Linked DNA regions of Saccharomyces cerevisiae S288C. The protein of the gene in region 1 binds, or shares a complex with, the protein of each later gene. Each region holds a gene or a part of one and is shown in the gene's direction. Other genes may lie near its edges. The genes, in order: IML1 and NPR3.

The links.
Region 2: IML1 (region 1) and NPR3 share a complex: the UniProt entries of both Saccharomyces cerevisiae proteins name them as parts of the SEA complex.

Annotation. Positions count from the first base shown.
Region 1 is NC_001142.9:682,933-690,071, forward strand, and holds IML1 (GTPase-activating protein IML1), read left to right. Parts: upstream 1-1,634; coding exon 1,635-6,389; downstream 6,390-7,139. Other genes in the region: MET5 (sulfite reductase (NADPH) subunit beta), read right to left, coding at 1-353; HOM6 (homoserine dehydrogenase), read right to left, coding at 6,513-7,139. UniProt on the Saccharomyces cerevisiae protein: Component of the SEA complex which coats the vacuolar membrane and is involved in intracellular trafficking, autophagy, response to nitrogen starvation, and amino acid biogenesis.
Region 2 is NC_001140.6:58,506-64,468, reverse strand, and holds NPR3 (Npr3p), read left to right. Parts: upstream 1-1,905; coding exon 1,906-5,346; downstream 5,347-5,963. Other genes in the region: AIM17 (Aim17p), read left to right, coding at 1-7; SPO11 (DNA topoisomerase (ATP-hydrolyzing)), read left to right, coding at 312-1,508; RIM4 (Rim4p), read right to left, coding at 5,679-5,963. UniProt on the Saccharomyces cerevisiae protein: Component of the SEA complex which coats the vacuolar membrane and is involved in intracellular trafficking, autophagy, response to nitrogen starvation, and amino acid biogenesis. Mediates inactivation of the TORC1 complex in response to amino acid starvation.

The DNA of each region.
Region 1 (7,139 bases):
AAAGAAAGATCCTTTAACGCAGGAATTGCGGAATAATCTTGCAAATTCAAATCCACTGTAATCACCAATGGAAGTTTATTAGGAAGAGAATATAGATGGTGGATGGATTTGACCAAAGTAGTTTCATCTGTAAAAACGGTAGTTAAAATGTCCTTAGAGAGTTGATCTTTGATGGTATTCAATGGATCTTGATTGTTCAATAGATGAGTAGCATCTGTGGCAACAGATTCTAGCCCTTTGAAGGATGAATGACTATTTTTTGTGCTAGTAGTGTAGAACACTTTATTTTGGGGAGCACTAGAGGAATATTGCGCCAACAATTGTGGGAGCGTCAAGAGGTCAGAAGCAGTCATTCGCCAATCTTTTGTTTTTCTCTGGTTCCCGTTCCCTACTGTTACTTTATTAGTATATAAGGGATCTGAATAAATATCAAGACGATGGAAAAAAAATAACAAGCAAAGGAACCTTTCTATATCCCAATTTTATTTCACATTAAAAACTATCGTCTTCCAACACTTTATATAACTGCTTGCAGCGGCCAGTAATTCGTCGCATCTCCATGACTCAAATTTTCCAGTGTCTCTTAGCAGTTAAACCATTCCTGCCTCTGTGTGGTGGTAATTGTGGCATTATGAGTTAAGAGATAATACGCACGTGATGAAATTCATTCTGTGAAATATCACGTGGACAAATTATATTACCCGGATTCATAAATCCACGTATTTTACCTGCATCTTTATTGAGTGCTTAGTAAAAGTCAGTTGGTGAAATTCCGCAGATAAAACAGCATATTAGTTGCCTGAAAATAGCCTTATGTGTTGGTTTGATACGTCTTTGTCATTATATACCCAAAGGTTTGTAGTTCATGTTGCGGGTTGGTATGAATAAATTTTTCGTATTTAGTGATTATAATACTTATTACCCATTTCGGCGGCTAATAAGGAATCTGCTAAGATAGGTAAATGTACAATACCATCAATGGCTTCTAAAAGTTTTCAAAGAAGTGGGATAAGGGATGAAAGTTGTGCGTGTGTTGGTTACTTAGGTTCTAATTTGGCTTCAATTTGAAGTGAGATGTTTTGTTTAACATTAGTTTCAAATTAACAGCTTTTGTGAGAAAATATATTTTGGATGAATAGCAGAAAATAGAAATCTGGAAATAAACAAAACAGAGCCAAAATTCTAAGCTTAATAACATGAATATTTGTTTATCTAGCATCTTGTTCCTCCCACTCTTTTTCCGAAAATATGGCTAGCCAACTTAGGTGAATGGGGAAGGGTACTAGATTCATTCATTTATTTCTATTCAAGGACAAGAACTTTTAACATAGTAAGACCTTTATGTTAGTTTGGTGCGGCTGACAAATTCATAGCTAATGTGCTAGAGCTCTTATATTGGTAATTACTAATCCTTCATTGCTATTATGACTATCACATTATAAGGTAATGAAAAATTAAATCATTGTGTACGGATTAAGTCCTTTCTCTAAAAGAGATCACGTGACTATTTGAATCACTATCTATGTTAATCATTATTGTTTAAAAGATAGTAAGTGACAGAACAACGAATTGTTTCTGTAACTACTTTTTAAGCAGGGAAATAACTCAGCACTGACAAGGGACACTTTTTAAGGATGTTCGCTAAATTGCATGGGAAGAAACAAAGACCAATTTCTTCCATCAATTCACAAACTCCAAGGACTAGCAATACTACTCACGCAAATAGCATATCCTTATCATCGGGTAATTTGATAGTAGGTTCCAATAGAAATTTAAGACAAAAGAAAGAGCAGTTTGGTTCTCAACAAAGGGCTTCCGGCAGAAAGCTGATTTCAAATAAGGAAAATGACGATAACGTCAACAATGGTGGTGACAACAATTATGACAATGGGGAACGGGTCCATCGCCATCATATTCCAGGACTGAAAATAAAGGCGTATCAAGCTGAATTAGGCTATCATGAGTCCCGATTTTCCGAGAATTTAGTGATGCTAAATCTAGTTGAGTTCCCGGATATAAAACCTGGTGATTTGGTAGAATTGAAAACATATCACAAAAATCCATCTGCATCGAACGGAGATAAGAAAATTTATTTTATTGCAAAAGATTTTGACGGAGAGACTAAAAGAAGGGCAAAAACATCTAATGTTTCAATACTTTCGGGTCAACTGCAAACTTTGTTAGATTTGCCTTCTAGGTCTAGGATATGGATAAAATTGAAACCAAACAAATTTGACTTACAGGCAGATGTGGTAGAGTTTAATATCAAAGATTGCCTACTAAATAGAGGTGATATGTGGGTTCTATCATCTAAGCTGGTAGATACATGTGTGTTTATGGATCAAAGACTGGCATTCTTAGACTCTATCAGAGGTACTATTAAGGGAATTTATCGAAATGGTAAGAAGATTGTTTCTGGATATATTGGCGAACAAACAAGGATAATTTTTCGGTCCGAATCTGCCAGATTAATTTTTTTGATTCAAATAACTGATGAAATGTGGAACTTCGAAGAAACTGGTGAACAATTATTTCAAAAGATGGTTAATTCATTTTTCCCGAAGATCTTCAAAAAATGGAAAGATGTGGACACCCACCATACTATCACTATAGCCTTCGCTATATCAATGGACTTGTCTGATACATCATTCAAGGACTTAACACCCGGCGAATCTTTGAAAAATTCACAGGATTATTTTAGGATAGTTGTAGATCAAGTCAGTATTATCCATTGGGTTGATATTATGGAAACATTAAGAGAAGAATTTATGGAAATCAGAAAAGATTTATTAAACAAGCAAACGGATAAGGGTTACAGTGTAGCGAATGGAAGATTTTCACCTGTAATCAAGTCGAATTTTCTCGAATTGGTCAATTTTGCCACGACAATTTTAACGGATCCTTTCAAGCAATTAGATCTTCGACACACTACAACGCACGTCATGATTATTTCACCAGGGTCTGGATTATTTGACGTTGATTATAGTTTATTAAGGCTAACAGGAAAAAAACTACTCTCTCTTGAAATGACGATGGATTTAATATGTCTTTCAAAAGCTCCATTGCACATAGTTCCACTTTTTAGGTACCGAGACTTTGAGAACAAGCTTCATCATTGTGTACCGCTTTGGTTAAGTGTTTTCTTTTGGAATGATCATGACAAAAAGAGTAACTCAGAATGGACTCCAAGATGTAAAATTTATGACTTACAAATGATGGGGATTACTGAAAATGAGTTAATTCGGGAAGTGGATGTTGAATATTTACAGCTGAACAAGAAAGTCAAATCACTATCCGAGTTTATGAATGATTACGACAAAAATGCCTTCGAGGTGAAAATTTTATGCGCTGGCTCTAATACGAAACAATCTAAGAAATTAAATTCAAAGTTTGATACCGTCTTCGAGAATGATGTTGTTGTGAAGGCAAGGAAAATCCCGGCAACAGCAACAACAACACACGGTAACACAAAATTCATATGGAGAGGTCCAAAAGTTGCTCTCCCAGCCATTAAGGATATTCAAAAACCAAACGTAATACCAGATCTATCAATAAAAACAATAGAGGCCTCTTTTTATGATGATTGTAATACTACAAATGATAAAATTAGCACTCCCACCACTTCTAACAATGACAATCTCGAAATGAATGACTCATTGGTCTCTGTGAGATCTGCTGATAACCAAAACACATCTTTGGCGCTGGATTCGCTCAAAGGACTAAGCAAAAGGAACTCATTGAAAGATTTTACTCAAAGAGTAATTACAAAATTTATTTCGAACATAGACACAAGTAAAAATAAAAAAATAAAGTCAACATTACTCAGAGATGATGTGGATAACTCACCTTTAGGTTCAAATACACCACTACCATCTTCTGAAAGTAAAATAAGTGGCCTGAAATTACAACAAAAAGGCCTGGCAGATGAAAACGTTATCAGTAAACGTGGAAATTTGATAATAAAGAAAAACCTATCCATTTTTGGGCTACCTAGTAATGAAATCATGAGTGGTTCACCCTCCTCATATTTAGGCTCATCACATACCAGAACATCCTCTAAACTTTCTAATATGTCAGACAAGGCTGCTTTCATTACAGAAGGGCAAAAATCAAAACATGATGACTCGAACACTTATAGCCTCACACAGCAATTGAAACATCGTATAAGTGAAACTTGGGTGGATATTAAAAGTCCTTCCATTCCGGTAAGTAGTGAATTTGCCAACGAATTATTGCCTATACGTTGGAAAGATGTATGGCCAAAATATGTGGCCAGAAAATATAGTAAATGGAGGTCTTTTACAACCCCAGCAGAGTTACCAATCACAATTTCTGATTTTCCATCCAAGGATGATTTTGATAGGAACTTCATCTTCAGAAATCACTCAGTGACTTTAAACACAGATCAAGAACAATATAATCAGACATACAAAGACTTACTTCGTGATATGATTTATATGCGACTGTTAACTGGTTTTCAAATCTGCGTGGGCCGACAAGTAGAAAAAATAGAACTTTCTAGGGAAAGTGGTGAAAGTGAAACTGTAGTCAACAAGTATTTAGATTTCAATCAAAATGATGCGTTCAAACTTTATCTAATGATCGACTCTGAAATACACAGAATAACATGCTCGTCAAGTGGAATTATTGATGTGGAGAGGTATTTGAGAAAAGATGAAGCAAACTTGTTTGATCAGGTTCCTAGTTATATTCCGTTGGTTAAAACGAGATACGAGAGCTCATTTCGTGATGCTATGATTGACCCACTTCATGTTAAAAGAGAATCTTTGAACTGGAATCAAATTGATCAGGTTCTAGCAGGTTATGGCGATAACTTAATAGATAGGAAATGGCACGGATTTCGAGCTAAATATGTGGTGTTACCAACAGATATCCCTCCCAACACATATTCTATGGTTATCAATGGTAAAAGCGAAACTTTAAACCCAGAAGAAATCAGAGTCGAGGGTTTGAGAAGATTAATTGGCTCAATAACGAGGTCAAGACTAAGAACAGAGAAAGAAAAAAAAGGAAGAAAAACTAAGAGAGAAGAAATACAGCCTGAAGTTATGTTTTACACCGGCCCGCTTTACAACTTCATTAATGAGCAACAAACATCTTTAGAAAGCTCGGCTATAAATTTTAAAGATTCAATTTTTGTTAATGATAATAACCTTTTAAACAGAAATGTAGAACTATCCAAGTTGGCGTATCAAATTCAACGTGGCGAAGATCGCATTACTTTAGTCAACAGAAAATGGCACTGGAAAAAGCATGAAAAGTGTTTTGTTGGCTCGGAGATGGTTAATTGGCTCATAAGAAACTTCTCTGATATAGATACTCGAGAAGATGCAATTAAATATGGGCAGAAGGTGATGAAAGAGGGATTATTTGTTCACGTTTTAAATAAGCACAATTTTTTGGACGGGCACTACTTTTACCAGTTCTCACCTGAATACGTAATGGACACTAATAAACTAGAAAAAACAAACTCCCATCGCTCTACATTATCCGATCCAAAGCAGATGTTGAGAAAAGCATCCACTGGTAGCTCAAACGATCCAAGCGCTATGACTCCTTTTTCTTCAGTAGTACCTGCTATAAGCGCTTCGAATGCTTCAGTTGCTGACGCCAAAGAGCCATCACGCCCTATTTTAATGCTGAGTAACTCTCTTGTTATCGATGTTGATCCCGCGGGAAAATCCTCGAAACAAGAATCGTGTACAGTCCATTATGACAGAGTTCATAACCCCGACCACTGTTTTCACATAAGATTGGAATGGTTGACTACCACCCCAAAATTGATCGATGATTTGGTTGGGAACTGGTCAAGGTTATGCGAAAGGTACGGTTTGAAAATGATTGAAATTCCTTGGGAAGAACTTTGTACTATCCCTTCGGTCAATCCATTTCACTCTTTTGTGGAAATTAAGTTAGCTATCAATCCTTGGGAAGATCCTGAGTTCAAGGATAGGGAGCTTTTCGCTAAAAGCAAATTCTACTACCACGTTTATCTTTTAAAGGCATCTGGGTTTTTATTAGACAATAGGGCATCCAAATTTTTACAAAATCAAGATATAGAGTTTGACATCATGTATTCATGGGGCAAACCACAGTTCAAATATGTTCAATATATTCATCATACGGGTGCTTACGTCGCGGAATTGAGGGAAAATGGCTGCCTATTTTTAGCTCCTAACAACATTTATATATCCAGAGTGAATCCGGGAAACATAATCGGGAAAATTCATTCTGCTTCAAGCTCTTCATTAGATGCTCAAAAAGTGATCCTAAATTTCAAATCAACTTGCTTGGACTATCAGAAGTTAAGGTCAATTTTCCTTGACGCAAAGGAAATGTGGATTACAGGAAAGATTGTAGAAGATTGAGTAGCCCCATGACATGGATGAGTTTCTTCACAAAGTAAATAATATTCGAACGTGGATAGTAAAGCATAATGTTATCTATTTATATATAAATATACCTATGTTTTTATATGTCTGTTTACTGATCTAAAGTCTTTGAGCAATCTTGATAACATCACCCAAAACACCAGCGGCAGTAACGGCAGCACCGGCACCGGCACCTTGAATGACAACAGGATTGGTGTAACGCTTAGTCTTGATGGAAATAACGTTATCTGATCCCTTCAATGATGCGAATGGGTGTGAGTAATCGTACTTTTCAATTCCTACAGACACAGATTTGGTGGCAACATCGACTTTACCAATGAATCTCAATACCTTATTTTCAGTGGCAGCTTCCTTCTTCAATTGAGTCAAATCTTTATCGTAATCAGATAATTTTTCCAAGAATTCATCAGCAGACTTGACAGATTCCAATGGTTTTGGAATCAAAGACTGGACAGGGAAGGAAGTTGGAGATTCAACTTCCACACCAGATATCCTACCAACAATGGTAACCTTTCTAGCAACATCCAACCCATTCAAATCATCTCTTGGATCTGGTTCAGTATAACCCAATTTTTTAGCAACTTTGACAACATCAGAGAATTTGACGTCGTTAGCTTGACTAGTGGAGAACTCGTTGAAAATATAAGATAGAGTACCAGAGAAGATACCTTCAATTTTTTCAACTTCGTCACCGGTTTGAATAATTTCTCTTAAGAAACTGATGAT
Region 2 (5,963 bases), on another chromosome or scaffold:
CAAATAACTTCATTTTTTCAGCATAGTTATGTGATTCTTTATATTTATTTATTTTCTCTCTGTGTAGTGACAATTTTTTTTTTAATGTTTCATGTTAAATATATTTATTTTAAGAAGCCGTCAGTTTCCTTTTGTTTCATTGAAATCAATAACTAAAATTAAAATTATAAAAGGAATAACGTAAAAGAAAGTCTACTACCCAAGGAAAATCTACTTTATTTAGTGATTATATCCAACTAAATATCATTCAAATAACCTCACATATTTGTCTTCACCCTTAAGATTTTACGATTTACTAAGTTCACCTTCTCATGGCTTTGGAGGGATTGCGGAAAAAATATAAAACAAGGCAGGAATTGGTCAAAGCACTCACTCCTAAAAGACGGTCCATTCACTTGAACTCCAATGGTCACTCCAACGGAACTCCCTGTTCAAACGCAGATGTTTTGGCTCATATTAAGCATTTCCTGTCATTGGCGGCTAATTCATTAGAGCAACATCAACAGCCTATTTCAATCGTCTTTCAAAACAAAAAAAAAAAAGGCGATACAAGCAGTCCTGACATTCACACAACATTGGACTTCCCTTTGAATGGCCCGCATCTATGCACTCATCAGTTCAAGTTGAAAAGATGCGCAATCCTTTTAAACTTATTGAAAGTCGTTATGGAAAAATTACCGCTAGGTAAAAACACTACAGTGAGAGATATCTTCTACTCCAACGTGGAATTGTTTCAAAGACAAGCAAACGTAGTCCAGTGGCTGGACGTTATACGCTTTAATTTCAAGCTCTCTCCAAGAAAATCCTTAAACATTATACCAGCTCAAAAGGGTTTAGTTTATTCGCCTTTCCCCATTGATATTTATGACAATATTCTGACATGTGAAAATGAACCAAAGATGCAAAAGCAAACAATTTTCCCTGGTAAGCCCTGTCTAATTCCATTTTTCCAAGATGATGCGGTCATCAAGTTAGGGACAACAAGTATGTGTAATATTGTAATAGTGGAAAAAGAAGCTGTCTTCACCAAATTAGTAAATAATTATCACAAGTTGAGTACAAATACCATGCTCATTACAGGTAAGGGATTTCCAGATTTCTTGACAAGGTTATTCCTAAAAAAACTAGAACAATATTGCTCCAAATTGATATCGGACTGTTCTATATTTACCGATGCGGACCCCTATGGGATTAGCATAGCCCTAAATTATACTCACTCGAATGAACGCAACGCTTATATTTGCACGATGGCAAACTATAAAGGAATTCGTATTACGCAAGTTTTGGCACAAAATAATGAAGTGCATAACAAATCCATTCAATTATTGAGTTTGAATCAGCGCGACTACTCCTTAGCCAAGAATTTGATAGCATCTCTGACTGCCAACAGCTGGGATATTGCAACTTCACCATTAAAGAACGTCATCATAGAATGTCAGCGGGAAATTTTTTTCCAAAAGAAAGCTGAAATGAACGAGATTGATGCCAGAATTTTTGAATACAAATGAATAAGAATGGGAGCTGTTGCTTTATAAAAAATGTTTTTCAAGAATTGAAAACGGTTACATTTAAATATTATATAAATTGAAATCTTTGATAATGAATACTAGTCCAAAAAAAAATACAATTTCAAAAAAATAAATGCCATCTCCTAGAATCGAACCAGGGTTTCATCGGCCACAACGATGTGTACTAACCACTATACTAAGATGGCATATGATTTTACAATGATTCGATGGTGAATGAGTTATAAGCCATGTAAGGATCACTAGTCTTTTTTCTTAAGTAACTTTTTCGCTTGTGATATCTTGAAATACCATTAAACATAGATAAGCTATTGAAATGTGAAGAAAATTCAAAAAAAAAAGGGAACAGAGTCATCTTTTGGGTAGAAACTAAGCTTCAATGGATGAATGTTTACCCAATTCATGTCTACTAGGTGTTCACCTCGTCATTTCAACGCATTCGGGGCCACAAATAGTTTATCACTACCCACCCTCCAATACAGCATTTCTAACAAATAATCCAACGAAGCATCAGCACCTCTATGGAAACCATGCAAATCTAAATAAAAACACAAGTACAAATAAAGAAGAAAAACTCTTTAATTCTGGCTCTACGAAAACAGCTTCTCAAATTGCTCTAAACGAGTCAGCGAAAAGTTACAATACCGCTATTACGCCATCAATGACAAATACTAATACTAATAATGTGACATTACCTCCAACTAGATCGCATGCTAATACTGTAGGATCACAAAGTTCAATTCCTGCGGCTACTAATGGTGTAGGTTATAGAAAAACCGATATCGAAGATACTTCTCGGACTTTTCAATACCAAGAAACTGAATCTGAAACGTCATCATCGGGATTAAGTGACAGCGAATTGTCCACAGACTACTTAGACATTTCTAGCGATTCGTTTTCTATATCTTCTTCCTTATCGTCATCTTCTTTATCTTCTTCTCCCTCAAGTTCATCCTCATCTTCCCCTCCGCAAGATGGCTTATCAAGAACTAATTCGAGTTTCCAATCTACGGATTCAATGTCTCCAACTTCACCACAAATGATAATGGAAAACGATAGTATTTCAGTAGCGGAATCATATCTAGATTCTGGGACTAATAACAAATCAAGGGCCGCTTCCAAGAGATCCCAGAATTTCTTCCATAAATTGAGTACCAAGAAGAGTACTGATTCAAAAACACATTCTCCAGTAAGAAAGCTTAAATCTAAGCCATCACAAAGCACTAAAAAAGGCAACAAACTGTTAAAAAATACGTCCAATGAGACTGATGGAAATGCTTTTACAGGAAGTTGTTCAATTTCTTCTAAAAAATCTTTATCGAGTACAGGAGAGCATAACCAAGAACTTCGTAATAGTAGCCTGAACGACACTCCTGGCCAATCACCTCATCATTACCACCATCGTTACCACCATTATCATAAAAATGCCGCGACGAGCCAACGAAATTCCCATACCCAGTACGATGTTGAAGAAGAAGACATGGAAGTTTCGGCAATGTTGCAGGATGGTAAAATCTCTATGAATGAAATTTTTTTTGAAGAGGAAAACTTCCAGGATATAAATAAAATTCTAGAATTTGATAATGATTTTGTTGCAGAATTTTGTAGCCCTGAGAGGGAAATGTGCAATACCAGATTCGAATTCACGGTGGATAATTTCTGCTTCTTAGGCTTACCTATTCATGTAGATTCTCAAGGCAGATGGAGAAAATCCAAGCACAAAAATAAAACCCGCTCTAAAAGATCTTCGAGTACTACAACAAACATCAGTAGAAAGAAATCTATCGCTTCCAAAATTTCATCACTGAGTGAGAATACTTTGAAGAAAGTTAATAGTGGTGAAGCTGACACTGTTTATGACAGTAATATTGGTCATGAGGCTTCTACTGATACGCCGAATTTGAGGATAAATACTGATGTCAGTGGAAACGAATTTGAGAGAGAAAAGGAAGACTTGGGCAAAAATATGAACATGTTTCATGTATGCTTTGTTATGAATCCGCATTTAATCGAATATAATAAAAGGATTGATGACATGTATCAGTTTGTTGTTACAAGGTTATCATTATTGTTAAGATATGTGCAATCAAAAACCTCGTACATTTCTAGCGAATGCCATATAATTTTAAAGGAAAAAGAACGGGTACTGAAACATTCGAAAACATACCAATCTATAAGAGGCGCAGGAAACAAGGGGAAGTATCTGTACCAAAGAATTTTAGCCAAATCTTCGTTGGCTAGGGCGCTAACGGAATGTGTTGATAAAATCCAACGAAATGAAATCGCATGTCTTGAGATCAATGACGATAAAGTAATTTCCTTGCAAATCCCGATTCAAAACGAGTTTGAAAAAATGCCAAACTTCAAACTGCAACCCGTGCTAAGAGGCTCATATTTGACGTCCATTTTGAACATGAAATTTTTAGAAAAATCATCATTGAGAATTGAAAGTCAAAATCGTCAAAACGATCAGGCTCAATTCAGTGATACCAATAATAACATATACAGGTTTGGCAATAATATTAATAGTACCGGCCACTGTGGAGCAGCAAATGTGGATGACGGGGACGACAATGAAAGCAATTACTACTGCGACGACAATGATGACCTTTTAAACTATGCGCTATTATTATTGGACGAGCCAAATAATATTATTAGCTCCCTCGAAACTTTTTCATACCAGGACGATATTGGCACTATCATATTGAAACATTTAGTCAGAAATATCCAGCCAAATATCCCTCTAAGGTCGTATCGCTATCTGATAACTGATTTATTAGATAACCCTTCTTCACTGGACGACCTTACTACAGAAACAAACTCATTGGAATCAAGCATACTGCGCTCTTGCGCATTGCATTTAATGTATTGGAGACATGCAAGAATAGTGATCCCACTAAGCTCCAAATACACGTATATTGTTTCACCCTTGGCTCCTATTCAAGGTTATACAATAGATGATTATAAAAGTACTTCACAAAATGATGGGAACGTGAAAAAAATGGACGATCGCGAAAATAATAAGAGTGGAAGCGACAGAGTACCACTAATTTATCAAAATTCGATGTTGTTCAGATCCAAATTCCCATCATTGCCCAGTTTACCCATTTTTTTAAGTTTGTTGTCCACGGACAAACCTCAAGCGTACAGTAACATAATCCCATCAAGGGAACATAAGCCAGTTTACCTGAACGCGTTAGCGTGGTTAATACAGTACGGGTATGTAACCCAATTATTGACTTTCATAAATATCCGAGTGGACAAACACATAAAAATGGCAGTAGATGAGGATCTAGAAAAGGAAGGCTTCCGTAAGACTAATACTGCTAGAAGGCCCAGCATGGACTACAAAAAAACTGATAAAAAGCTGGATGATGAAGATGGGCAAAGTAGAGATGCAAACGCCAGCGAAGCGTGTTCAGGAAAGAATGAAGGCATGCAGTCCAACGACAACAACAAAGATGTGGACGAAAAAGATAACGAAAATGATAGTCGTGTTGATGATCGTGATGACAATGAAATAGCTATTGCGGATGAAGAAGAAATACTACACTTCGAATACGATGATCCAGAAATGCAACATGACTATACTATAATTTTGGAACCTGAAAGAGCCACTGCGATTGAAAAAAGATGGCTTTATAGATGTATTTATGGTCAGCCTTCAGATATCCAGATTCTTTTTAACAAGTTGCTCAAGTACTTCAATGGAAAGGTCCCCATGGAATTGGTTATCATCAAAGAGGAAATTAGCAGACATGACCTAAAGAAATTGCTCAATGCTCTAGATAAGTATTTAATCGAGATACACCATTGGTAAATCTCTCTATTGTAACAAAATGTAAGTAAAAAAAAAAAAATCTACCAAAAATTAAAATATGTGTATATAAGAATAGACAAAAGGAAGAATATATAAAAGGAAAAAAACATTTCGAGTGACTTGTAATCAAAACTCGAAAGTATGTATTGTTATATTAGGAGACAAAGAAGGTAAAAGAAGGAAAGAAGGATGAAAACAATACCAAGTGAAAAAAAAAAAAAAGATCCAGAGAAAAAAATAGGGAGACGAAAAAGAAAACGAAACTGCACTTTTAAAGTTAACATCACCGCTGAATTACATACATCTTTTGCAGCTTTTACGACCAATCATTTTTAGTAATCTAAACTATAAGCTTTGTTATCTTCATTTATGTCACCAGTATCGTTTGATATGAATTCGTTCGCATGAACATGGGTACTGCCATGATTAGCAGCATGTGATTGGCTTACATTTATTGGAGGAGGGATCATGCTTCCATCTAACCCAGAAGGCGGAGGTGGTGACATGGGATAAACCATCATATATGGATGGTGATTTCCAGCAGAACCTTGAGAAGGATGCAATGGGCCCATTGGGCCCATATGGTATTGCATGGGGTGATAGTAATAAGGCTGGAA